7 linked regions of the Cricetulus griseus genome follow. The protein of the gene in region 5 purifies or fractionates together with the protein of the main gene of each other region. This does not show direct contact. Links are inferred from orthologs where the notes say so. Each region holds a gene or a part of one and is shown on either strand. Other genes may lie near its edges.

The links.
Region 1: the proteins of Csnk2b (region 5) and Znf687 purify together in Homo sapiens (co-immunoprecipitation; 3 studies listed by BioGRID and IntAct, with this or other methods). This does not show direct contact. The link is inferred for Cricetulus griseus from reciprocal best matches to the Homo sapiens genes CSNK2B and ZNF687.
Region 2: the proteins of Csnk2b (region 5) and Gpatch2l purify together in Homo sapiens (co-immunoprecipitation; 3 studies listed by BioGRID and IntAct, with this or other methods). This does not show direct contact. The link is inferred for Cricetulus griseus from reciprocal best matches to the Homo sapiens genes CSNK2B and GPATCH2L.
Region 3: the proteins of Csnk2b (region 5) and Cep170 purify together in Homo sapiens (affinity purification with mass spectrometry; 3 studies listed by BioGRID and IntAct, with this or other methods). This does not show direct contact. The link is inferred for Cricetulus griseus from reciprocal best matches to the Homo sapiens genes CSNK2B and CEP170.
Region 4: the proteins of Csnk2b (region 5) and Rnf111 purify together in Homo sapiens (co-immunoprecipitation; 3 studies listed by BioGRID and IntAct, with this or other methods). This does not show direct contact. The link is inferred for Cricetulus griseus from reciprocal best matches to the Homo sapiens genes CSNK2B and RNF111.
Region 6: the proteins of Csnk2b (region 5) and Ccnl1 purify together in Homo sapiens (co-immunoprecipitation; 3 studies listed by BioGRID and IntAct, with this or other methods). This does not show direct contact. The link is inferred for Cricetulus griseus from reciprocal best matches to the Homo sapiens genes CSNK2B and CCNL1.
Region 7: the proteins of Csnk2b (region 5) and Rps6ka4 purify together in Homo sapiens (affinity purification with mass spectrometry; 3 studies listed by BioGRID and IntAct, with this or other methods). This does not show direct contact. The link is inferred for Cricetulus griseus from reciprocal best matches to the Homo sapiens genes CSNK2B and RPS6KA4.

The regions. Positions count from the first base shown.
Region 1 is NW_023276806.1:61,493,693-61,496,972, reverse strand, and holds the end of Znf687 (zinc finger protein 687), read right to left. Parts: intron 3,258-3,280; coding exon 3,081-3,257; intron 2,968-3,080; coding exon 2,805-2,967; intron 2,644-2,804; coding exon 2,314-2,643; intron 2,235-2,313; coding exon 2,122-2,234; intron 1,934-2,121; coding exon 1,789-1,933; intron 1,677-1,788; coding exon 1,182-1,676; 3' UTR 501-1,181; downstream 1-500. UniProt on the Homo sapiens protein: May be involved in transcriptional regulation.
Region 2 is NC_048598.1:117,541,193-117,544,692, forward strand, and holds part of Gpatch2l (G patch domain-containing protein 2-like), read right to left. Parts: intron 2,847-3,500; coding exon 2,779-2,846; intron 1,392-2,778; coding exon 1,352-1,391; intron 1-1,351.
Region 3 is NC_048598.1:17,059,910-17,062,244, reverse strand, and holds the end of Cep170 (centrosomal protein of 170 kDa), read right to left. Parts: coding exon 2,151-2,335; 3' UTR 501-2,150; downstream 1-500.
Region 4 is NC_048597.1:181,987,843-181,991,342, forward strand, and holds part of Rnf111 (E3 ubiquitin-protein ligase Arkadia), read right to left. Parts: intron 2,280-3,500; coding exon 1,931-2,279; intron 1-1,930. UniProt on the Homo sapiens protein: E3 ubiquitin-protein ligase. Required for mesoderm patterning during embryonic development. Acts as an enhancer of the transcriptional responses of the SMAD2/SMAD3 effectors, which are activated downstream of BMP.
Region 5 is NW_023276806.1:231,642,975-231,647,083, forward strand, and holds the start of Csnk2b (casein kinase II subunit beta), read right to left. Parts: upstream 2,801-4,109; 5' UTR 2,652-2,800; intron 2,099-2,651; 5' UTR 2,088-2,098; coding exon 2,016-2,087; intron 1,501-2,015; coding exon 1,398-1,500; intron 625-1,397; coding exon 509-624; intron 131-508; coding exon 55-130; intron 1-54. UniProt on the Homo sapiens protein: Regulatory subunit of casein kinase II/CK2.
Region 6 is NW_023276806.1:86,983,830-86,987,971, reverse strand, and holds the start of Ccnl1 (cyclin-L1), read right to left. Parts: upstream 2,801-4,142; 5' UTR 2,702-2,800; coding exon 2,396-2,701; intron 2,183-2,395; coding exon 2,108-2,182; intron 1,506-2,107; coding exon 1,396-1,505; intron 1-1,395. UniProt on the Homo sapiens protein: Involved in pre-mRNA splicing. Functions in association with cyclin-dependent kinases (CDKs). Inhibited by the CDK-specific inhibitor CDKN1A/p21. May play a role in the regulation of RNA polymerase II (pol II).
Region 7 is NC_048596.1:52,599,328-52,602,827, reverse strand, and holds part of Rps6ka4 (ribosomal protein S6 kinase alpha-4), read right to left. Parts: intron 3,479-3,500; coding exon 3,398-3,478; intron 3,326-3,397; coding exon 3,222-3,325; intron 3,119-3,221; coding exon 2,968-3,118; intron 1-2,967. UniProt on the Homo sapiens protein: Serine/threonine-protein kinase that is required for the mitogen or stress-induced phosphorylation of the transcription factors CREB1 and ATF1 and for the regulation of the transcription factor RELA, and that contributes to gene activation by histone phosphorylation and functions in the regulation of inflammatory genes.

The sequences.
Region 1 (3,280 bases), about 170 Mb from region 5:
GGACTCACTGCCCTCCAGAGGAGAGAGGTGATGAACGTGAGGATGGAGTCTCAGAGGTTCTACAAACTGTCTTGTTTCCTCTGGGTCCCAGCAAGATGAGAGGAAGAGTGGGCTCTTGGTACTTAGGATGTAATTCTATGTCTGACCATGCTGCTGCCCAACTCTAGCCCCACCCAGGGGCTGACCCCTAGCCCACATAACCCCTGGCAGGTGGGTTCTGCCATAGGGTCCTGCACTTGCTGAGGTTCCCCATCAAGGGGCTAAGGAAGGGAATTGCCACAATCCCTCTAATGTATTTGAGGGTATTGGCCTAGCCATGGGGAATTTCTTACCCTGACCCTTTCCTGACACCCAGGGAAATAGCTCTCAATTTTTTTATTTTTAATTTTTGTTTGAAATAAAGTCCTTAGTTAGCCATCTGTGTCTTGTCTGAGTTGCTTCTGGGGGTGGATGGAAGAAGAGGCTAAATCCAGCATACAAAAGGCACCAAACACACAAGATGAAGATTACTTTTCCATCTGTCTTGGTCAGTACTGCCTCTTCCCTGAGAAGGGCTTCCCCAGTTCTGACTCACCCCCTCCCTAGCAGTACACATTGTCCAACTCACATAAAAAGAAAAGCCTGAATGGGGATTAAACCACAAGCAGTTTTAATGGTCTGGTTTTCTCCCTCTTGTTTCTCTCACTGTTAGTATTATTACTACAAGAATAAAGGATTCCTGAGAGCCTGTCCTCTCCTCTTCCTGGACCCCATTTGACAGGACTCATCCCCACCAACCCCCCACCCCTAGATTTCTGGGGGAAAAGACAAATGGAAGGCACTGCAGGGATTGGGGCGGGGTGTTAGTGCCAATGAGTGTTAGAGGAGGGAATACTAGGCCAGAACCCAGCCCAGAGGAAGCAATCTAGCAGAGGGGTAGAAGCTAGACCCTGTACATCCTTAGGTCTCCCCTGTGTAACATTAGTGTTGGATTCAGAAAGGAAGGAGAACCCACTTAAGTAGGACCCAGGGACCAAACCCAAGAGGGAGTGGGGTGCAAGTCACTAGAATCCTCAAAAGCCTTTCCCTTGGGAGCAAAAAGAATCAAAATAAGTGTTAAACTTCCCAGCCCAGGGAGTTGACAGCAGCAGTGAAAGACCCAAGTTCCTGGGAAGAGAACTGGCTAATCCTAGGCCTGGGACCTAGTTGTCCCCACTGCCTCCCTGTCGGGCCCTGATGAATGCCATGCCATGCGTGCGGAAATGGGTCTTGAGATTCAGAGGGCTATCACAGCTCTTGCCACAGACCTTGCAAGTCAGAGGGCCTCCAGAAACAGGCAAAGGTGAATCTCCACCCTCTGGGTCAGAGCGTAACGGAGGAGCTTCTTCTTCCCCATCCGCCATCCCCAGAGCACTGGCTTTACCCCCCGCCCTTCTCTTCTTGTGGCTAATGAACCGGTGGCGGCTCAAGGAGCCAGGGGATGCAAAGCACAAGCCACAGTCGAGGCACTGCTGCGTGCCACCATCCACCCTCAGGCCCACCACAATGCTCTGTTCCACTGAGCCACTGCTCCTATATCGAAGAGGACCGTGGCCTCCTGACCCAGGGCCACCCCTCAGGGACTTGGCTGGTGGTGTTGTGCTGTCAGGCTCCTCACTGCATGAGTCAGAAGACTGGCGGCGTTTCCGTCCTGGCCCCTGGAGAAAAGTGAAAGAAACTGGGCCTCACCTTCAGCCTGGCTTCCTGAGCAACCAGAGGCTCACTGGTTTCTCGCTCCCACAACATAATGTAAGGAGAGCCTCTTCTTACCTGGGCTCTGCCACCAGAGCCTCGCACCAGAGTGCCTCCTCTGCCAGAAGGGGACTGGGTCCCAAGGGGCAAGCCATGCCGGACTTGGACATGCTTCTCCAGGATCAGACGACTACTGAAGGTGCGCTTTCCCTCTGTGCAATACCTAGCAGAGGTAAAGTGGGCAGGGTAGCACCAGAGGAAAAGACTAAGGCCGATAGCTCCTGAGAGAAGGAAGGCTGCCAGAGCAGAGGCAGGCCTCAACCTTTGGATCCCTCAAGCAGGAGGCAGGTGACAGGTACTCTGGGAGTAAGGGTCATCTCGCAGGTAGGAAGAGGAATGAGTCAGGGTTACCTGCATGGGTAAACTCTCTTGATTCCCTCATGGTTGACCCTCACATGGCGTCTCAGGCTGGGGGCAGAGCAGAAGGAACGCTCACACAGGCGACAGGGGAACTTTTTCACTGACTAGAGAGCAGAGAGTGGGAAATTTCAGTCACACAGGTCAACCCTCCAGCCTACCTTTCCCAGAGGAAGCCTAGCTCACCTTGCCATGTTCTTTCTTCATGTGAGCCACATAATCATCGCGCTCAGGAAACCAGGAATGACAAAGGCCACAGGTCCAGCCCCCAGGCCCCCCACCCCCACCTTTGATGCCTTTGCTTCCCAGGTCCCGTCGGGGTCGTTTGGTTGGGCGGGGAGGCTCAGGGGAGCTGGGCAGCTCCTCTTCGGAGGATGAGGAAGATTCCTCAGTAGCAGGGGCTGCCTCTGCCCGAGACACAGCCAGCTCCTCAGGCTCAGTCTTGGGGGTCAGAAGGGCACCTCCAGCCCCTTTCCCAACTGCCTCCTCCCCCAAGCGTCCGGACTGATGAGTGCTCTATAAGAGGAAGACAAGAGGAGTGGCTATGTGGAGGAAAGCCTGGCTTTGCCAAAGTCCTCACTTCCCTCTGCTCCCCCTGACAGAGGGTTATGTGACTCTAGTTCAGGTCAACACAGCTAGTTAAGGTCCTATTCCCTAGTCCTTTGCTCCTCCTGTACCTTGAGATGTTCCAGCATGGTCCTTTTTTGGGCAAAAAGCAGAGGACAAGATGGACACTTAAAGACGCTGACACGCTGGGGCAACAAGTGCTGGTCGAAGTGTGAAGAAAGGAGCGGTTTGTGAGTGAAAACTGTGTCACACATGGCACACTTATAGATCAGCCTGTGGAGGCAGAAGGGTCAGTGTAAACATCATGATAGGACAGCAAAGCCCTACCATGCACCCCACCCCCCCAGCCCACCCCTTCCTCTTCATGCTCCCTCCCCAGGTCTCACTTGGCTTGCTGGGTGAGGAAGCTGGGATGCTGGGAGTAGAGATGGGCATGGGCGCTGGGTGCAGACTTGAAGGCCATGGGGCAGATGGGGCACTTGTGGAAAACTTCGCAGTGTGACGCCTGTATGTGGGACTTGATGGAGTTTATACCCCCAAATACCACTGCACAGCTGGGGCACCTAGGAGAGGAAGTGGGAGGTAC
Region 2 (3,500 bases), on a different chromosome or scaffold from region 5:
TTAAAAGAACAGAAACTTAGCTAATACACATAGCTCAGCAACTTCAGGAAAATAGTTAAAACCCATGATGCGTTGTTCCTCACTTGTACATAGCAGAAGTAGCGCAAAAGATGGCCATAAATCCTGCCTTTGCATGCTCTGAAGCAAATACAATCCACACTCTAGCTTAACAGTTCCCAAATCTCTCGCATGCGACCTTCATGACCCTTTCTTTATCTGCCAACTATATGAACTGTTCATCCAGAATTTTCTTTACACCAATTACTTACACTCAGTTTTGTCCTATTTCCACCAGGTAAGTCTGACATAGTAATTACATTTTTCTAACATACATTATAATATATAACTTCAAATACGTAATCTAAAATCATCTCATAAACACACACTGGTTTTATCTTCCACTGTTCTAATTATTGTGAAACAGCAACTTCCCAGTGAACTTTGCAAATATAAACTGTGTAACATAATAAAATGCTAAGTAGTCCCCAAAATAAACAACCAGTCAACCATGGAGCAAAAGGAAGCCTGAGAAGGTTTGCCCATCAGTCTCTATGAACTTCACAGCTCAGAACTAAGGTTAGGCAACCCTTACCTCTAAACTGAAAGAATTTCAAACATCTATAAACCTAACAACAACCACTGTGAGTTACTTTTAAATCATGGATCCTCCTCAAAGCCAAAATGTATTAAGGCATCCCTAAAGGGGAGTCAAGGAAAAGATTAAGAGAAAAAAGCTCCAAAGTCTTGATCATTTCCCCAAAAGGAGCTCAGCCTTCTGCCTCCTATGCTCAGACAGTCACAGCACAGGATTCGAATGGCAAACTAACCCAGAGACATGAGACTCACTTTACATTTTTAATCAATTGAAACAATAAGACAATGGGTTCAATGGTTAAGAGCAAATACTGCTCTTCCAGACGACTCAAGTTCAGTTCTCATCAGCATGTCAGGCAGCTCCCAAATGTCTGTATCCCCAGCTCCAGCACATATGATACCCTATGGCCTCTGCAGGCATCTGAGCTCACATGCACCTATGTACATGGACACATAAGTAAAAATAAACCTTAGGGGGGAAAAGCTAAAATAAAACCAGGCTTCCCTTGAAATGTGTTACAAATAAGAAGCTGACAACTGCAGCTGAACCTAAGGAGGGAATTGGCTACAGTTCTTTCAGATGAGCACAGAGCAGTCTTGGAACTCAGCTCTCAAAAAAGTCAAGAGTGATGGAGAGTGATCTTAGTCACCTCATGTGCACAAGCAAAAATGTGAGGAAAATCAGAAGCCAATGTTTTATTCTTTCTAAAGAAAAGGAAACTGAATGATAAAAGATGACCCCCCAAAATTATCTTACCTGCTTTCGTTCTCTTTTCCCAGCTGATGGTAAGCAGAAACTGAAGAGAGAATAACAGGAAAGAAAACAATAAAAGAAGTGATAGGAAAAGTAAGAGGGAAGACGATCACAGGTGGGATACTGAGTGAAGACAAAGAAGGAACTGGGAGCGATGCAGCTGAAGGAGAAGGACGCCAGCTGTGTGTGAACAACAGTCTCCCTGAAGTAACTGCAGTGGAGAAGGCAAAAGTGGAAAGCAGAAAACTAGACAAGGAAGAGCCAACTAAGACACAGCCTTATCTCAGCTGTGCATCGAGAAAAGGACTCAAACTCCAAAATCAGACTAGGTTTATGTATAGGACTGCTCTTGGGTACTGACCATAATGATTAAGGAATAAACTATACAATTTCTTTAGCATATACAAATGTGGGCTGCTTTTTTTTTTTTAACATACATAGTTGATATGTATGCATGTATGTGTGTGAATGGAGGAATGTAAGGTCACAGGTACACACGTGTGTGGAGGTCAGAGGTCATTGTGATGTCTTCCAAGCTCACTCTCCACTTCATTTATTGAGGCAAGGTCTCTCACTGAACCTAGAGCTCCCTGCTGGTCAGCTTGCCCTGGGATCTACTTGTCAAGGGCTGATATTACAGGCAGGCCTACCATACCACCTGCTTCTTTATGTGGGTGCTGGGGATCCAAACTCTAATCCTTATGCTTGATCCACTGAACCATCTCCCTAGTCCCAATATATATGTATTTATTCAGCAGATATTCAAATTTTAGCCATGGAAGACCCATAAGAAGACAAAGCACACAGCAAAGCCAACTGTTTAGGAAATGAAGCTGTTATGAGAAAGGCAGCTCCATTCATGATTCCTACTGCATTCACCATGGTAACAGGGACAAAAAGATTTCTCCTTAAAGAGGCCTGAAGGAGAACAGAAGCATTTGGAACAACCATTTTAAAAAAATTAAGAGAGAAAAATGCATTTAAAATATAGTCTCTTAGTGGTGGATATTAATATAACACCTAGAAACATAACAGGCAACAACAACAACAAAAAACTACTCTAGAAAGAAAAAGAAAAATCACTGTCATGATTTAAGACTTTAGCCATCTTAAAATTTTACTTTTTTATTATTGTGTATGTCATAGCATACTTGTGAGGGTCAGAGGACAACTCTATGGAGTTGGTTCTTTCCTTCTGGCTCTGGGATTAAACTCTGGTCATCAAACATGCAACAACAGGTGGCAAGCACTTTTAGCCATGAGCCATCTTGCCAGCCTGATTTTACCCATCTTAACTGTTAGCAAGCACCAATCTCTAAAATGCCCTCTTTCGGTTCTCAAGTCTAATAGAAAGATTGCTTTATAGAAACCCTCTCTACCTCCTTCTCCAAGGACCAGGCTAGGACAGCAGTAGGCACTTAGGTACTTACTCTTTCTGCCGGGGGTCACTGATGATATGGCTTATCCTCTCGGTTCCTAGACTGCTTATGCTGGTTTCCTAAAAAGATAAGAAAAAGAGTGTCATCAAACCACAGAAGCAAATATATACAATTTAAGCTGTTACCAAGCTAAATTTTTCTCTAACCATACCAAGCAATCTTAAGGTTGTATCAATCTTAAAATCCAACAGCAACTATTTTTTTTTTAATAGGAGTACATCTTAGAAGTATCATCTATTACCTAGCTATTCTCTGCTGACTTAAAAGGCTTTTAAAAAGCCGTTATAAATACTGTTTGTTGGGCTTGGGATATTTTTCTATTCTAAATTTAGTTTTGTATAAGTGTGTGTGCGCAGGTACACGTGTGTGGGCACTCATAAGTGTGTGCATGAGTAGAAGCCAGAAGACTATCTCAGGTGTCATTCTTCAGGCACTGTCCACATTTTTTGAGACAGAGTCTCTCCTGGCCTGAGCTTAGCTATCTTCCTCCTCCCCAGCGCTGGAATTACAAGCATGCCATTGCACCCGAGGTGTTTCTCCCATATTGTTCTGGGGAACAATCTCAAGTCCTCCACAAGCACTTTGCCAACTTGAGCAATAAACTCCAGCTCTGTTTATTTTTTAATTGACACATAAGTGAAATATAAAACTAATACCAAATACTGTTTCTTTTTCTTTTTAAAGATTTTATTTATTTATTATGTATACAACAT
Region 3 (2,335 bases), on a different chromosome or scaffold from region 5:
CTTTGCTAGAGCATTAGGAAATTCTCTGTAAACAGTTGTTTGGTAAATTGATGAATGTACTGTCTATCAGATGGTAGAAGATATGAATTCTGTATCACTGCATAAAGTTCCAGAAACACTTTATTTAAAAATGGAGTTGTAAATGCATAACAAAATAACGTAATAAATGTAACAAAAATAAATAAGGAGAATGTATTCATACAAAATAAAAATAACATAGTAAAAGGCCAAATGTTTATAATTGAACAAAACTGTAAACAAACAATAATGTAAGCATACATTTTAATACTTTCTTAGATTCCTTCTCATGTACTTCCATATGGACAGACTCAGTACCAAACATTAACTAAAGGAGGGAACAATGGTTATTATTTTGCATAATTTTTCTTCAAATGGACCGACCCTGTTTATATGTTTTGTTTGTTTCTTCAAAGCATCTCACTCCCCTTATATTTTTTGGAACTCTTTTGAAGCCTTACTTCACAGAATTGTGGATTTAGCTTTACAAGGAGAACGGTTCCTTTTCTTCCTTTTTAATTTAAAGAAAAAAAAAATACAAGGAGATCCATTATACAGCAGACTTGCTTTTACATGTTTACAAAAAGATTTTGCAGTTTTATTAACTGATCCAACAGCACAGGATTTCTTAGATCCTGAAAAATCCTGAAGTATACATTTAACTTTCCCTTAAAACAAATGTAGCACAAGTTATTGCTAATATATCAAAGACCATATCATAAAAGTTGCAATTTACTCTTTATAGACTAATGGGGCCATTGAAGCAAATCCAGGCCTATTAATATTTAAAAGAATTAAGATTCACCCAAATTATAGTGTTCTGGAAACACAAAAAAATAATTCCTTTATTTAAAAACTTATTGAAATGTGAGCTTACTGGAAAGAAAACAAAACAGTAACAAAAACAAAGTTTAAAGAAGGTATTTTTCACAGGCTTTCTTTACAGTAGCTATTAGCCCAAAGCCTTAGTCGTCGTTGCTGTCTTGCAGGGTCCTTACAAATGTGTAAGACTGACACGGGGTTACTATGAACCTACAGGGAAACACAGAAGCAATTCAATGACTGGGAGTGGAACTATCAACTACTCTCACAATTACTGATTCTCCACATCTCCTAATGAAGAAAAATTAACCTCATGATCATTTCAGAGGGCTCCCCCTCCCCAACTGCCACATAAAAACTTGGTAACACAGGATAAATATACATGTTCTTAATTTTAAAAATATACTCCACCTAAACTATCTGTCAAGTTTGACCTTTCTAGTCATTTCATCTAAAAGGAGAGACAAAAATCTGATTTCCTTACAAAAGAAAATAAAAGAAAGAAAGGGAAGGAGGGAGAGAGGAAAGGAAGGAAAAAAGATAAAAGTGCCAAATGGACCTTTTTGAAAAGTGGAGTAAAACACTGTGGGGTTAAAACAAATACAGTATTGTTAACTTCCTATGTACAGAAAGACAAGTCAGTCCTTAATGATATATAGATATGTCCATCTATCACTCCCAGTAAATCTTAGTGCAAACATAATAGTTAATTTCCATAAACCCCAAGACAAGTTACTTAGCAACAGTTATAGAAATCACACTATGTTGGAAAAATCTTAGGAAACAGGATGATTGCTGTGGAGGGTTTGCTTTACTCTACAGAGCATGGTGTCACTGAGTCCACTGACAGTGAGTAATAATATAAACCCTATTATTAAGAAGCAAATTGAATGGTTTAACAATCTGTACAGCTGATGAGAAGTTCATCTCAGGAAGTAGCTTGGCACAGGAGACACAGGGGCTCAGAAATGTTGGCTATTTTAGTGTGTAGGTCACAGCATGGCTCAAAACAAACAAACACAAAGATCTATGAAGGGAAAGGATACAGTGATATGATTCAATTTGAAAACCATGAAACCACAAAAGGCAAAGCTGACACAATCTGCCTTTTGCTAAGTGTGCTTCAAGTGGTTGTTTGAGTGGTTTGAAAAGACTGGTATAACACATTAGAGGTGAAAATAAATAAATAAATCAAGGAGACAAAGATAACAAGATTGTTGCCGACCAAGCTCTCTTGTTTTGTACATCCACATCATGCTGCTTCCAATACCCCAAGTCACTCCACACATAATGTCTCTGACAAGGGAATGTCACTCATGCACTACAACGTCTTCCTCTTCCCCATCAGGGTTGAACCTGTTGAAATGGATACTGAAATCAGCCTCAGATTCAGCATTATCAAACTCAGCTGAGGCTGCAGCTGCTGCAGGGTCCAAAGCCCTGGTTTCTGGGGGGCAAAGTGCTGGTGTCTGACCAGGGCTGGTGTGGTTATTAA
Region 4 (3,500 bases), on a different chromosome or scaffold from region 5:
ATGTAGTAAGCTGACGGCCAGCCAAAGCTACACAATAAGATCCTGCCTCAAAAACAAAAAGAAATTCCACAAAAAAGGTAATTGTGGCTTGAAACTTCTGTAGGATATATTTTAATTTGGAGAACAGAATGAAAACAAAACTTTAAAAAGTTAAAAAGAAAAAGACATGTTCAAACTAGTTAGTTACTTCACATAAACTTACAAAGCAGGATAATGGAAATTTTTATTTTGCCAGTCATTAAAAAAATGCAAAGCAGGGCGGTGGTGGCAGAGGCAGGCAGATCTTTATGAGTTCAAGGCCAGCCTGGTCTTCAAACAGACAGTCTCCAAACCTACAGGAAAACCTTGTCTTGAAAAATCCAAAAAAAAAAAAAAAAATCATTTCAGTAGATAAGAATATGAGGGCTTTTGTTTTGTTTCCCCCTTGGAGACAAGTCGAGAACTGTTTGCAGGAATCTGTTTTCTCATTCCACATGTCCACATGTAGCCTTGGGGATTGAACTCAAGTTGTCAGGCTTGGCAGCAAGCATCTTTACCCACTGAGACATCTTGCTGGTTCCATAGACATTTTCTATATAGGCTAACTATTAAACATCAAGCCTGTAGTCATATGATTTCTGAAAAAATTAACCAGCTAAGTCTTTATCATGCCAAAAGATGTGAGACAATGTAAATGAAAAAATTAAGCTGTCTTCTAATAAAACTTTATTTACAGAAACTGACAATCAGATGATTAAAATATCAAATCCTGAATTGTCAAAAGAAAAAGTTTACTTAGTCTTATTATAAACATGGGGAAACTACACTATTAGAAGGTTAATAAGACTTTGTTAAGACTGGATCTCCACTGGGTGTTGGTGGCTCACACCTAAAGGCGTGATTAAAATCCCTGGTCTACAAGGACTAGTTCCAGGACAGCCTCAAAAGCCACTGAGAAACCCTGTCTCCAAAATAACAAAAAAAAAAAAAAAAAAAAAAAAAAAAAAAGTGTGTGTGTGTGTGTGTGTGTGTGTGTGTGAGAGAGAGAGAGAGAGAGAGAGAGAGAGAGAGAGAGAGAGAGAGAGAGAGAGAGTGTCTCATGTGGCCCAAGATGGTCTTGAATAGAATTCCGATCCTCTTCTACTTTTCACCTCCCAAGAATGACACCATGCCTGGTCCTTATGCAATGCATGCTAGGGAAGCACCCTACCCTCTATGCCAATTTTTAAGACTTTTTGTTTGTTGGTTTTTTGAAACAGGGTTTCCCTGGGTAGCCATAGCTGTCCTGGAACTTGCTCTGTAGATCAGGCTGGACTTGAACTCATAGAGATCCACTTGCCTCTGCTCCCAAGTGCTGGGATTAAAGGCATCTGTCCCCATTGCCTGACCAGTTTTAGAAACTTCTATTGCTATTCTTTCCTCTTGTAAATAACATGATAAATCAAATTAGATATTGGACATCTTTCAATCTTGTTCTTCAGGATCAATGTTGGTATCAATCATTACGGAGAAACAGTTATTTGCTTGAAGACACACTGTCAACAGCTACAATGCAGAGTAGGACACAATAAAGTTATTTAATGGTTGATAACTCTCCAGCTGGAGATAAAGCTCAGCCAGTAATAGAACACTTCTCTAACAGGTGCAAGGTGCCATGGATTCAATGCCCATCATCAAAACAACAAAAAGGTAATGTCCTACTACACTAAGGATTTACAATTGCACTGCTTTGTTTTCCTGTGTCCACAACCCCTACTAGGTGTAAAGGTGTACATCTGTTACCTTAGCACTGTGTGGCTGAGGAAGGTGGTTTATGAATTAAAGGACAATCTGGTCTGTACAGTGAAACCTTGTTTCAAAACATGAAAGATTTCATATATAAAAGACCAATTTCATATATAAAAGACCAATGGAACATGAAGGAAAGCAAGCACAATTTCCTTAAACCTACGTTGGGTGCTGCATCATCCTTCTCCTCTGAACTTCCATCCTCTGCATCACTTCATGAGGGTGCAGTCTCTGGGCAGGAGGTGCCGGGGCTGGGATATGGTGTGAAATTGGCTGGTGAGCTGGAGGAAGATGCTGTGGGATGGGTGCAGCTGTACTGCCTAAATGAGTTGGGGGCGGGGGCGCCACAGGGTGAGATGCTGCATGTGAAGATATCTGAGAATGGAAAGCATGTACAGGATGAGGAATAACATAATCCACTTGAGGGGGAGGCTGAGTCTGAGGAGCAGCAGTTCCATGAGAGTGAGGGCAACCCGAGGCTTGATGGTGCAGCGTTCTTGTCAAGGATGCATCTGCAAGAAAAGTGTTTTCTGTCAATACATATAAATATACTTCATTCACAGTGTTACAACCTAAAACAACCTATTATGAGACTGTACCAAAATTTCTGGAAAAGCACCCCAATAAAAACTGGTAAACGCGATGGGCCCTGGCTGAGCAGGGTAGGCCTATGTGTGTGTGTGGCATACACCTTTAATCTCAGCAAAGGAGGCAGACCAGGCAGATCTCTGAATGAGTTCAAGGCTAGCCTCATCTACAGACCAGACCAGGCTACAAAGACAGACCCTGTTAAAAAACAAAAATCACCAGGCATTGGTGGCGCATGCCTTTAATCCCAGCACTCGATTGGTGGCGCATGCCTTTAATCCCAGCACTCGGGAGGCAGAGGCAGGCGGATCTCTGTGAGTTTGAGGCCAGCCTGGTCTCCAGAGCAAGTGCCAGGATAGGCTCCAAAGCTACACAGAGAAACCCTGTCTCGAAAAAACAAACAAACAAAAAAGGAACAGTACACATTCTTAACCACCACTCCAGCAACCTAAATTTTTTGTTTGTTTTTCAAGACAGGGTTTCTTTGCATGGGCCTGGCTGTGCTAGAACTTGCTCTGCAGACCAGGCTAACCTCTAACTCAGAGATCCACCTGCCTCTGATCCCTGAGTGCTAGGATTAAAGATGTGCACCACCAACACCTGCCTTAAACTTTTTAAGTAAATGTGAAGGGCTGGAGAGATGGTTCAGTGGCTGAGACATTACCTTTCCAGCACTACATTCACAAGTTTTACAAAGTCAAAAAGTTCTGTTTTAGAATGGGTCCACTTAACTCTTCAGAAAGCATTCTATGCTGCCATATAGGCCACCTACTCTTTATTCCCATTCCTTTTCAGTTACTTTTAAAAATTGTTTTGGTTTGATTTCTCATCACAAGGTCTCACTAGGTAGCCCAGACTGCCCTCAAACCTTGCAAGTGTTGGGATTACAGGCATGTGCCACCATATCCAGCAGTTTTTGTTCTTTTTGAAGCAAAGTTTTGCTCTGAAGCCCAGGCTGACCTTAACCTCTCAATTACCCTGCCTCTAAACTCTAAGTACTGGTTTTTCCAGCATGAACCACCATATCCATCTTCTTTTGGAAGTTTATGGATGTTCTTACCAAGTTAGAAAAATCTGTTTAAATATATAGACGCTTATCAATTATACATAAAATAAAATTTACAATAATTCCTTTTGAAATTGCT
Region 5 (4,109 bases):
CCACATCAACCTGACTGGCAAGTAGTGCCCTCCTCTCCCCTCTCCAACACTCACCGATGGGAAGCATTGGCTGGTTCTCACAGTACACACGAGGACAGTAGCCAAAGTCTCCCTGCTGGTACTTTTCCAACTGAGGTGTGCAAAATGGAAGGGACTGGTGAGTACGTGTGCAGAGCACCTCACTTCCCCACCTCCCAGGCCTCCCACCTCTAACTAGAAGCCCTTCTTTGTCAAGACAGGTCCTCAAGCTTCCTTCTCAACTGCTTTCCTCAAGTTGGCAGGCTGCAGAACACAAGGGCCATTTGCTCTCTCTGTTCCCTATCCATGGCCTCATCTCCCTCCCTGAAAACAATACCTTCAGTAGGACCCTCAGTGAGGATTGGATTCTCAGCCCAGCTCTGGGCTTCTCCTCGTCTCCTCTGCTAGACTTCTTGACAGGTACGAAACATGCCTTCTGCCTCATGCACCTGTTTGTCTCACTGCCTCAGAAGCAGGAGCAGAGCCTCACCATTTGGGCGATGCCTCGGTTGGTGAGGATGTATCGGGCGTGGATCAACCCATAAAGCATCTCCGCTGCCTGTTCAATCAGGTCACTCTGGTTGGGGTTGTCTTCCAGCTCTTCATCTGAAAGGTGGGATGGCCACTTGTACCCCACCTTATCCCCAAGGTGGCCTCCTACAGTTTATCCAGCACCTGTTTCTGACACACCCTATCCATCACCCAGGCCATCAGCACTGCCCTCTCTCCACACCTCTCTAGTCTCTGCCAGCTTCTTCCCCTTCCCAACACATAAACATAATTGCAGAGGGTGGCACTCTAGACCAGCAGGAGGAAAGCAGCAGCACACAACACACCAGAAGACTGGCATTGTGAGAGACAGTGGAGTTACATTTGGAGAGCATGGAAACAAATGTTACCAGTCCCTGAAGGCAAGGGTCAGGTAGGGAATCAAAATAATGAAGAAGCCAGGCAGTGGTGTATGTGCCATACAAAACCCAGCACGTGGAGGCCAAGGCAGGAAGAGCAAGTGGTAAAGTCCAGTTTGGGTTATGAATGGAGAGGAGAGGTGGGGGAGAAAACACATAAACAAACAAACAAGCGAGCAAGAGACTCGGGAATAGACAGAAGAGCTAGAGAATCAAAAGGAAATTTAGAAATTCAAGAAGCGGTTGGGCAGTGGTGGCACATGCATTTAACACCAGCACTCGGGAGGTAGAGGCAGGTGAATCTCTGTGAGTTCAAGGCCAGAGAAACCCTTCTGGAAAAACCGAAAAAGAAAAGAGAAAAATTCAAGAAGCAAGCGAGCAGAGACCAGAATAAGAAGAAACCAAAGCACACACAAGTGCACATATCATGGACCCCACACGCAGCGACGGCCCTGGGGGCAGGCACGTTACCAGGCTCCAGGTCCAAGATCATGTCTAGAGCTTGCCGGTAGTGAGGCACTTGCTCATTGAGTCCAGTCAGATTAAACTTGTCCTGGATGTAGTCCTCATCCACCTACCGGGACAGGGGAGTCAAGAGGTTGAAACTAGTGTGGGAAGCCCCGTCTTTCACCTGGCCCAGGAGACAAACGACCGCATCGGCTCCCCTTGTTTCCTATTCTCACTTCTGCAGAGGTGTTCCGTCTCCCACAGAAACCGCAGCTCTCTTCTTTCCGGGCCAACAAGGTACAGCGCATTATTCAACTTGTCTCCCTCCTCTAAAGGACCCGGGTTTGCTCTCTGCTCTGGGACATCAGACTCTCACAGGCATTGATCATTTCCTACGTTACCACACTGTGGTTTTCATGTTACATGAAACATTTTAACTTTCCTGACGGTCACCAGCGATACCTCTGTTAGCCATGCACAGAGTGAACCCCAGCGCTCAGGAGACTGAGGCACTAGGATTGCCAGGAGTTCAAGGACAGTCTGGGCTACACAGTCAGCTTCGGGGGAAATCTCATCTCAGACAACATACAACGAAAACACCGAGGGCACGTGGAGAGGGCCCAGAAAGCCAGCTAAACTCACCTCACAGAAGAACTCATTACCACGGAGCCCACAGAACCAGGAAATCCAGGAAACCTCCTCAGAGCTACTCATCTTTACGTCGGCTGAGGAAGAAGGGCGTTAAGTGGAGACCAGGCTGTTTCTTGGTCTCTTCCCTCCTCCCACACACACGGTCTCCTCAACGGCGGAGGAATCCGAGGCCACTGGCGTTGAGTGGCCCCGGCCCGTGAAGCACCGCTCTCCACGCCTCTCTTCTTTACCTCAGCCCCCCGACAGCGTGGTGAGAACCAGCTCCACTCCTTCCCAGGGGGTGACAGGTCCCGATCTGTGGGTGTTGCCCGGCGCGAGGCCAGGCCCCGGCCCCCCGGCCCCCCGGCCCCCGGCCGCGCGCGGCCCGCGCGGCCCCACCGAGGCACTCGCCTGGCGCCCGTCCCGAGGCTTCCCGAGTCCATCCTCCCCCCCGAGCCCGCCTCTCGGGGCCTCGCGGCGCCGGCGGGAGCCCCGCACCCCCGCGGGACCCACGAGCGTCCCCACAGCCGCTCCTCTCCTCAGGCCACCCGGCCTCCTTCGGCCGCCGACCCGGTCCCTTCCTTCCTCGCCCCCACATCTCGGAGCGCGGAGCCCGGCGCCGCGGCGCGGGGACGAGCGCAGACTCACCGGCCGGACGGGGACTGGGACTGGGGCGGGGAAGGGGAGCCGAGCTTCGAAGGAACCGCAGCGACCGCTACAGCGCAGGAAGCCGAGCGGACCGCGGCAGGCGAAGTGGGGAGGGGGGAAGGGGAACTGGGGAGGGTGGGGAGGGAGAGAGGGCAACGCGCAGGCGCCGAGGACCGCCCCTGCCCCTAGGGACGCCGGGAAATGGAGTCCCGTAGAGAGGCAGAAAGTGACGCGATGCGGGGACGGCGAACCACCAATCCCAAGAGTCCGCGCGCATGACTCCGGGGTCGCGAGGCCCTAGCGGAAGCCGCCTGGGGGCGGGGCGAGCCGAGCCTCCACCGGAAGCGGAAGCCAGGTTACAGCCGCCTTCCCGACCGGGAAGCCTGGGAAATATAGTCCTACGCGCTTTGGGCTCGGCAGGCTGCGAGCCGGCGCCGGCGGCCGCTGAGGTCCCCGCTGCGCGCCCGCTCCGTCCCGCTCCGGTCGTCCCTGCCGCCCCGGGGACTGACACCGTCGCCGAGGACCAGGCATGCGGCCCGGAGGTGCGGCTCGGAGTGCGGGGCTGAGGTCGCAGGGCTTGGGCTGCCGAGCCGGGCGGCGGGGGCGGGGGACCTGCTGCACCGCCCCGCGCGCTAACCTGAGGTGGCGCCTGCCATTCTGCCGCTCATCCCTTTGCACTTCTCCATGTGTTGCTGCTGCTTGCTGCTGCTGCTGCTGTTGCTGCTGCTGCTGCTGCTGCGGACCCCACGTGAGCTGCTTGCTCTTCGAGCCCTGCTCGGAGTAGCGGTGAGGGGCGCCGTGGTGTTAGCGCGTCTCGCGGCTGCCCGGCATCCCGCGGCTCCCTGGCGTCCTCAGGCCTCCCGGCTCCACAAGAGGGGCTTGGAGCGGGAGGGACCACGTCGAGGGTGGCGAAGAGCATTGTGGGGGCGTTATGTAAAAGTAGGACCCCAACCGACAGGTCCCCCTGGGCCCTCGCGCTGTCTGGGCACGCGATGCCTGACGCGGATGCTTGGGAAGGTTCCAGCGCGGGAAACTGAACCTTGTGGGTGTTTTGTTGTGGTTGGCTGCTGCGCATGCGTCTCTGTGCCAGGTGGGTGTCGGATTGTGTCAACTCTTGCAGATGACGAGAGCGCCATTTTTCGGTACGGAAGTGACAGTGCAACGCTTTTACCCCGACACCTTCTGGAATGATGTCACGCCTGTTTTTCTTTGGGAAAAGGAGACACCCCCCCCCAGCCCCACGTAAGATCGAGCAAGATTTAAAAGTCCCGGCCGATATTCCCTAACGGTATGTGTTACAGGGTGGGAAAAGGTTTTCAGAGACAGCCTGCTGTTTTTGTTTGAAGGGAGAAGGGAGTAGAACGCAGGGCCCCTAGACAAGTGCCTGGGGGAACATTCTTTCCTATTATCATTTTTTTTTTCTTTCCTGTTGTAGAGATAGAACCCAGACCTCCCAAA
Region 6 (4,142 bases), about 140 Mb from region 5:
TCAGTCAGATTGAATTATTTTGAATTCTGAAGGTTTATAGCTAAGATGATCCTATTCTGACACCAAGGAAGGAGGAAAGTTAAGTCCCATAGGAAAATGCCAAGATGTGATTATAGTTGGCCCAATGACTCATATACTAGAAAATGTCCTTTTCAGAGTCCTTTAAAGAATTCTTTATTTTGAGTGTTTCATTAAAAAAACACCATGAAAAAACTCAGCCACATATCTAAATACAAATACAAGCTCAGAACATACTAAACACCAGTTGGAAATCTCCCCCTTCCTCTACTTTCTTCACGAAACACTTTCAAACAAAAGAAATTATATCTGGGAACACACTGAGAAAAGATGAGGCTGAAAAGTTATGGAGAAAAAAAGCTATTAAAAAATCAGCGCAGCAATTTTTGACGACTAAACTCACTTTAGTATCTGTCTATCTAGTTACTACCTTCACTGCCACCAACTTATAGATTCCACCAATAAAGACTATGTATGATACTCACTTGGACTAAGCAACATCCAGCTCCCAAAACAATTTGTCTTTTCATAGCTAACTCCTTTGAAACTCATCACAATTCCTCAGAAACTAATCTACACCATGAATATCCATCATCGTGTCCTAGAATCACCTGTAGAACAGGGTCCTGCAACAAACTTTGGTACTGCCATAAAGGCATAGATAGATAGGCCCACATAGTTACCAGATTATCACTACACTTCAAAGATACCGTTTCAGACTGGATTTTCTTACAAGATCAAGTAAACAGCCCTACCTGAAGGCAACTCAATCAATTGGTTATTTTTCTAACCCACTCACTGAGACTGTATCTGACCAAAACAGAATACCTGTTCAATCCCTTTGACTTCAAACTTCAAACTTTATCATCCTCCAGTCCTTTCAGATCCGGTATTATTCGATATATCGTAGTTCAATGTTGAGAAGTACTCTAACAAAAGCCAACCTCAAATGATGAAGAAACTGGGACTCCAAGCAGAATAACAACCTACACAGAACTTGGCCACAATATTAACTTGAACTACAGCACTTTCACATCCAGCCTTCGGTTTTCCAGAGAAGGGAGGGGAAAAATAACTTACAGAATACACTCCCACTTGAGCCAACCGTACTCCCTTTCTTGTCTAAGCCAAGGGACTGGCTTCACAGCACTGCTAGGATTGTCCACAAATGCAACTGCCTCTACAGTTAGATAGCTGGTTAATTGAGGGTTTTCTGAAAGTTTAAGTTTCAGTGTTTCTATGTGAATTTCAACACCTAATGTCAGTTTTCTTTTGCATCCATACTGACTCGAGAAAAAAAAAGATGTTTTGACTTGATGATTGGTGTACAACAGCAGTAAGTAGCAAGAAATAATATGTTCAATAGGCCAATCTTACCTTTTTCCTCTTAACTGGCGAAGGTGGTGGAATACATTAATCACATCTCTTATTCTTCTTGGTGCTTCTTCAATTTTTGATGCAAGATTAATACAGGCCATGGCAACAATCTGAAAGAACCCAGGAGGGGACAAAACTTATAACAAAAGTCAAACTGGAAACAACCCGGCCCAAAGTCTAACAAACTTATTATATATGTGTATATTTGGTTTTTCGATACAGGGTTTCTCTATGTAGCTTTGTAGACCAGGCTGGCCTCAAACTCCCAGATATTCGCCTGCCTCAGCCTCCCAAGTGCTGGGATTAAAGGCGTGGGTCACCACTGCTAGGCTTTAACGAACTTATTTTTAAAGAGAAACTATCTCTATAGGGTACAACGGGTCTTTTGGCGCGAGATGAAACCAAGGGCGACATTTTTAGAGCACGGGGCTTACCAGCTATATATGTTTTTATTACTCAACTGCTCTAATTTTGGACCCGAATCAAGCCAAGAGTTGTGCCTGGAAATGCAGCTCTTGATAACAGAGCACGTGGGCTCAGGATCCATTTTCTAGTTCTTGAAACACGTTCTAAGGGCCCCGTTTCCTTATGGGTAGGAACTAGGTACAAAGGCCTAGGCTAACCACTCCCTTTCTGGAAAAGCTGGTTACTACCCCTTCCTTCCCGCTTCCGGATGAAGCAATCCCTTTCTCGCCCGCCTCCGCCGACTTACCTCGAAACTGTGTTTGACGAAAGACTTGGAGTAGAAAAACCGATGGAACAACACCTGCCCCGTTGCCATCGCCACCTGCAGACAAGAGAGGAGAACGGAAGCGCCGGGGTCAGGCGGGCCCGCACCAGGCGCCGCCGCCATTTTGTGCGGCCGCTCTCTTCCCTTGCCGGCCCTGCCTCTCCCGCCCTCCCTTCCCCGCGCGCCGCCCGAGCTCCCGCCGCCGCCCGGCTCAGGCTCCCGAGAGAGCCGGCCTCGGAGGAGATGGCGGTCACCACCCGGGCCTCTCACCTGAGGCAACCGGAGGAGAATGCCGGCGGCCTGGATGAGCTCGCAGCCCAAGATGCGCAGGTCCGTCTCGCTGGGCAGGTCGAGGCCGTCCTGCATGGACGGGGTAGGCGAGAGCCTCTCCTCCGGAATCAGAGAGTGGTCGATGGTTAGCGACACCTCCGAGTACAGGCGGTCGCCGATCAAGATCCCTCCGGTCGTAGTCGTCGTCGTGGTCGTCGTGCCCGAGCTGGAGCCGCCCGCGCTCGGGGCGGCGGACGAAGCGGAGGCGGCGGCAGCGGTCGAGGTCGGGTGAGGCCCGGACGCCATAGTTCCCAGCGAGCTGCACGCACGGCCGACGCAGCCGGAACCCAAAGCGAGACTAACCAGCGTCCTCGGCGCGACGGATACTCCCGTGACTGCCGGCTTCCAGGCCGCTGCACGCAGTGTGCGCTTCCGCCCTGACGTAACCACGCCCCGCCCCGCCCCACCCGGCCCCACCCGGCCACGGCGCGCGCCAACTAGTTCCTCCAGGCTGCGGCCGGGAGGAGATGGGCGTGGAGGTCCGCAGGCGGCTCCAGGCTACGGGTTTGGTAATCTCTTTAGGCACCCGATAATCTGCAGTGTTGCCTGGTGGGTCGGCTCCGTAGACCCCTGCGCGCCCTGCGCCCTGCGCCCGGCCGGCGGCGTCAGCGGTGTGTAAAATGACTCTGAACTGGGCGGCTCGACAGTTTCAGAAATAAGGGAGGTGAAGCGCGCCGGGTTCCGGGAAGCGCCGAGCGCGCGTGGGTGTCGGGGTGTAGCCGTGGAAACGTGTGCTGGCCCTGACCTCACCTCGCCGGGTTTGTAGTAATCTGGAAAATCCCTGGCTCCAAAAATAGATGTAGGGTGAAGACAAATTACGCCGGCGACTTCATTACACCAGGGAGTCTAATCCCAAATGGTTCCCTTACATAGTGGTGGTGGTGGGGACAAGGTCTTGTTTATTACACTATGCGTTTGTCAATGTAAAAAACACAGCTCTCGGCCGGGCGGTGGTGGCGCACGCGGGGAGGCAGGGTCTGGCGGATCTCTGTGATTTCGAAGCCAGCCTGGTCTACAGAGCGAGTTCCAGGACAGGCTCCAAAGCCACAGAGAAACCCTCTCTCGAAAGACCAAAAAACAAACAACAACAAAAAAACACAGCTCTCTTCTTTCATGGAATTTGGAGTAACCTAAATTTGTGTTCTCCGGGCCATGGATCAAAAGGGCTCCAGGATAAACCATTTCTTTATTTCCTTTAGGATAAGACCTGTTTTTATGTTCACACTAAAAAGTCCAAGTGGCTGAGGCTGACCTTGGAACAGTTGATCTTCCTGCCTCCATCTTTATAGCCTCTTTGGCCGCCCAGTGGTCTTTTATTCCAGTTCAATCCTCTGAGATACTATCTAGAGAGAAAAAAAAAAAAAAAAACAAACAAACTTTGTCTTAGTACACAGCTTCAGAATTGTTACTTTGTTTTGTTACAGCTTAATTTCTTGACGAAAAGTGCCTTAACCTTGCGCTTGTAGAACAGGAGGTATTTAGATACATCTTACTATTTGTCAGTGCTGTTACCGAAGCAAGATTTGGGGAGAGGCAGGGGGGTCTTTGAGACAAGGTTTCTCTGTGTAGCCTTGGCTGCCCTGGAACTCAGTCTGTAGACCACGCTGGTTTGAACTCATAAGAGATTCACCTGCCTCTGCCTCCTGAGTGCTGGGATTAAAGGCGGGTAGCGCCACCCTCTGTAGAA
Region 7 (3,500 bases), on a different chromosome or scaffold from region 5:
CTGGAAATACACCAATCCGTGTGCCAGGGCATAGCTCACGATAGAGTGCTTCCCTAGATGTGCTCAAAGCCCTAGGTCCAATCCTCAGAATGCATAAACTGGGCACACCTGTAATCCCAGGACCAGGGAGATGGAGGCAGGAGGATCAGAAATACAAGGTCATCCTCAGCTACACAGATAGTTCGAGACCCTGGTGTGATATCAGAAAAACCAGTCACATGAACATATCACATAAAAAGGAAGTCCCTCACCTGGGACTATGAAAAGAAGAATCCCAAGACCAAAATGTGGCTGGCCTGCTACCTAGTCACTGGGTCACAGGCAACAACCTCATCCAGGAGAATTGTCAGCAGAGGACTCCTGCCTCTGACCCAGGCTCCCACACAGCCTCTCCTTCAGTGACATTCAGCCTACTTCAGACTGAGCCCATAAACAGCCTGTTACCTGGCCCTGCATCTGCTCTATGCCTTCAGGACAACCTCAGCAGTTCGCCTCTTTAACCCTTTCTTGGGGCTGGAGAGATGGCTCAGAGGTTAAGAGCACTGACTGCTCTTCCAGAGGTCCTGAGTTCAATTCCCAGCAACCACATGGTGGCCACAACCATCAGTTATGAGATCTGGTGCCCTCTTCTGATGTGCAGATATACACGGAAGCAGAATGTTGTACACATAATAAATAAATAAATAAATAAAAACCCTTTCTTAACATTTTTGTATATCGTGTGGCATGTGGACCAGTAATTAAAGAGTTGATATTCATAATTAAGATGGGAATAAAGGGGAGGTGAGATGGCTTCATAAATAAAGGCACTTGCGTCAGGCATGGTAGCACACGCCTTTAATCCCAGCACTTGGGAGGCAGAGGCAGGCGGATCTCTGTGAGTTCGAGGCCAGGCTGGTCTACAGAGCCAGTTCCAGGACAGCCTGGGCTACACAGAGAGACCTTGTCTCAATAAACCAAAAGCCAGGACATGCATGTGGAGGCCAGAGGACAACTTGTCGGGTTCTCTCCTTCCACTATGTGTGTCCCATGAAGTGAGTTCAGGTTGTCAGCCTTGGTGGCAAATGCCTTTTCTGGCTCTTCCTTCCTTCCACCACTACACAAAATTAAGTTTTTCAAAAAGATTAGAATAAAAGAACCTATGGATATGAGGTTTTAATGCCAGCACTCAAAAGGCAGAGGCAGACAGATCTCTGAGTTCGAAGCCAACCTGGTCTACAAATCGAGTTCTAGGATAGCCAGGACTACACAGAGAAACCCTGTCTCGAAAAAACAAAAAAGAAAGAAAAAAAAAAACTTGACTGCCAACAGCCAGTTATCAAATGAAACTGGATTATCAGACAATCAAACTGATGCAGCTTATGAGTTTACTGTTACTCATATTAATTCTGACATTATGGAGAAGTGCAAAGAAGCCCATCTATTTCTGACATAGCACACAATAATCAGTAAGAGGCCGGGACGTAGAGACCCCACTTTCCTGCACCTACCCTCACTGGGCAGCTCCCCAAGAGCAAAGGCTCTGACCCTGAAGTAGGCAGCCTCCCAGCCTACCTCCTCCCCTTTCTCCTTACAGGCCTCCACTTGGCACAACTGTCAGTTCCTGAACTTGTAATGGCCATGACATCAAAACACAAAGGAGCTGGGCCTGGAGAGACGGCTCAGTGGATAAGAGCCCTGGCTGCTGCTCTTCCAGAGGACCCATGTGGACGCTTCCATTCCCAGCATCCACATGCTTCGTAATTCCAATCTGATGCCTTCTGCTTTCCACAGACACTGCACACACATAGTACACAGACAAATGAAGATAAATAAACAAATATTCCTGAATGAAGAAACACTTTCCTTCAGATTTTTCACTTCTGGGAGAGAGCGCCTGCCCTTTTATATATGTTTAGACTAATGTAACATAGTTAACTAATCTCTACCCAGCATCCATTTTTCCTGTCTTTTTTTCTTTAGCACCATAATCCTAACATAACACCATCATACAAGCACTTCCTTATAGATGATTGTGTCCAATAGCCAGCAGCTGTCAGGGGGAGCCCAGAGAAGCACCTAGAAGGGAAGGTGTAAGCAGCTGACAAATGCCCTCCCTGCCCTTCTTCCTCCTGCTTCTTGCCTGGGAAGCAGTCTAGGTAGCAAGAGCCCTTTGGAGCCACAAAGCAACCCTGGGGATGGATGTCACATGCTAAGAATGGAGAAACAAATCAGAAAAAAAAAAAAAAAGCTTGGATTTCCAAAGACAACCCAGTCCAGACTTCTTTCACGTGAGGAGCTTCTCCCCATTATACACCTACCCACTGTACGTGCACATATATACGTGTGTGTGTGTGTGTGTGTGTGTGTGTGTGTGTGTGTGTGTGTCTGTGCAGTAGCCTCTAAAGAGCTTTCCAAAGAAAGGGCAGAAGGAAGTGCCATGCCTCAAATACCTTGGGGCTTCTGCAGAGTGACAAGTGAGTGCTCTCCCAGCACCCAGTCAAAGCTTGGGCTGTCCCAGAAACTCCCTGAAGGAAGTGGACCCTGCTCATCTGCATCTTGAGCTCTACTCTTGCTCACACCTCTGCCTAGGGTCTGGGAGAGGAAGACTCTGGTCTGAGAGCAACCCAGGAGGCCCTCCTAGGCTGGGATTCCAATATGGAGGCAGAGTGCCTGGCCATAAATGGATGTTCTTGTTGCCATATCAGACAGGTGCCAAATCAAATGCCTATGTGTAAATAGAAGAAGGCGTCAGTTAGGAAAAGCCATGCAGTGAGGTCTAATGTGAAGGCTCCATGCCAGTTCCTGTATTCTCAGAGAGCTGCCTGGTGAGAGTAGTCTGAGGACAGCGGGGTCTCCACATTCTGCTCTTTGACCCCTTATTGTGTGTAACATCAGAAAAGCATGGATACATCTGCGCTAACCATGCTGCAGCCCAGCCTACAGAGGTGTAGCAAATGAGAGGAGGTCATAGGTTAAAAGCCTCACCTGGAAAAAGGGGTGATTCTTGACTTCCTGCGCACCCTGGGGACCCGCGCCCAACCTCTTCTTAGGGTCTTTGCACAGCAGCCGCTGTAGCAGGTCCTGTGCCACAGGCCCAATCCGGAGGGGGAAGGGAGGGGAGCACTTCAAGATCCGTCTGGGAGGATGGGTGGGGGTGTCAGGGGCAGCAAGCCCCCTCCCAGCCCAGCCCAGGCAGGCCGTATAGCCCTCAGCTGCCCTCCATGACCTGAACAACTTACCGAGACACCTCGGCCTGAGTGTTCCTCTCTCCCTCCAATGTGAAGGGCGAGGCCCCTGTCAGCAGCTCGAAGAGCAGGATGCCCAGGCTCCACCAGTCCACAGCCTATGGGGTAAGGCCAGAGTGAAGGCCTTGTGTGCTCAGCCTTACCCTGCCTTCTTCACCCAGATAACCCACCTTGCCGTGTCCAGCCTTGCTTCGGATGATTTCGGGGGCCATGTACTCGATTGTGCCACAGAAGGAGAAGGTCCGCTCTTTCTGAGAAGCAGAGAGGACCCAT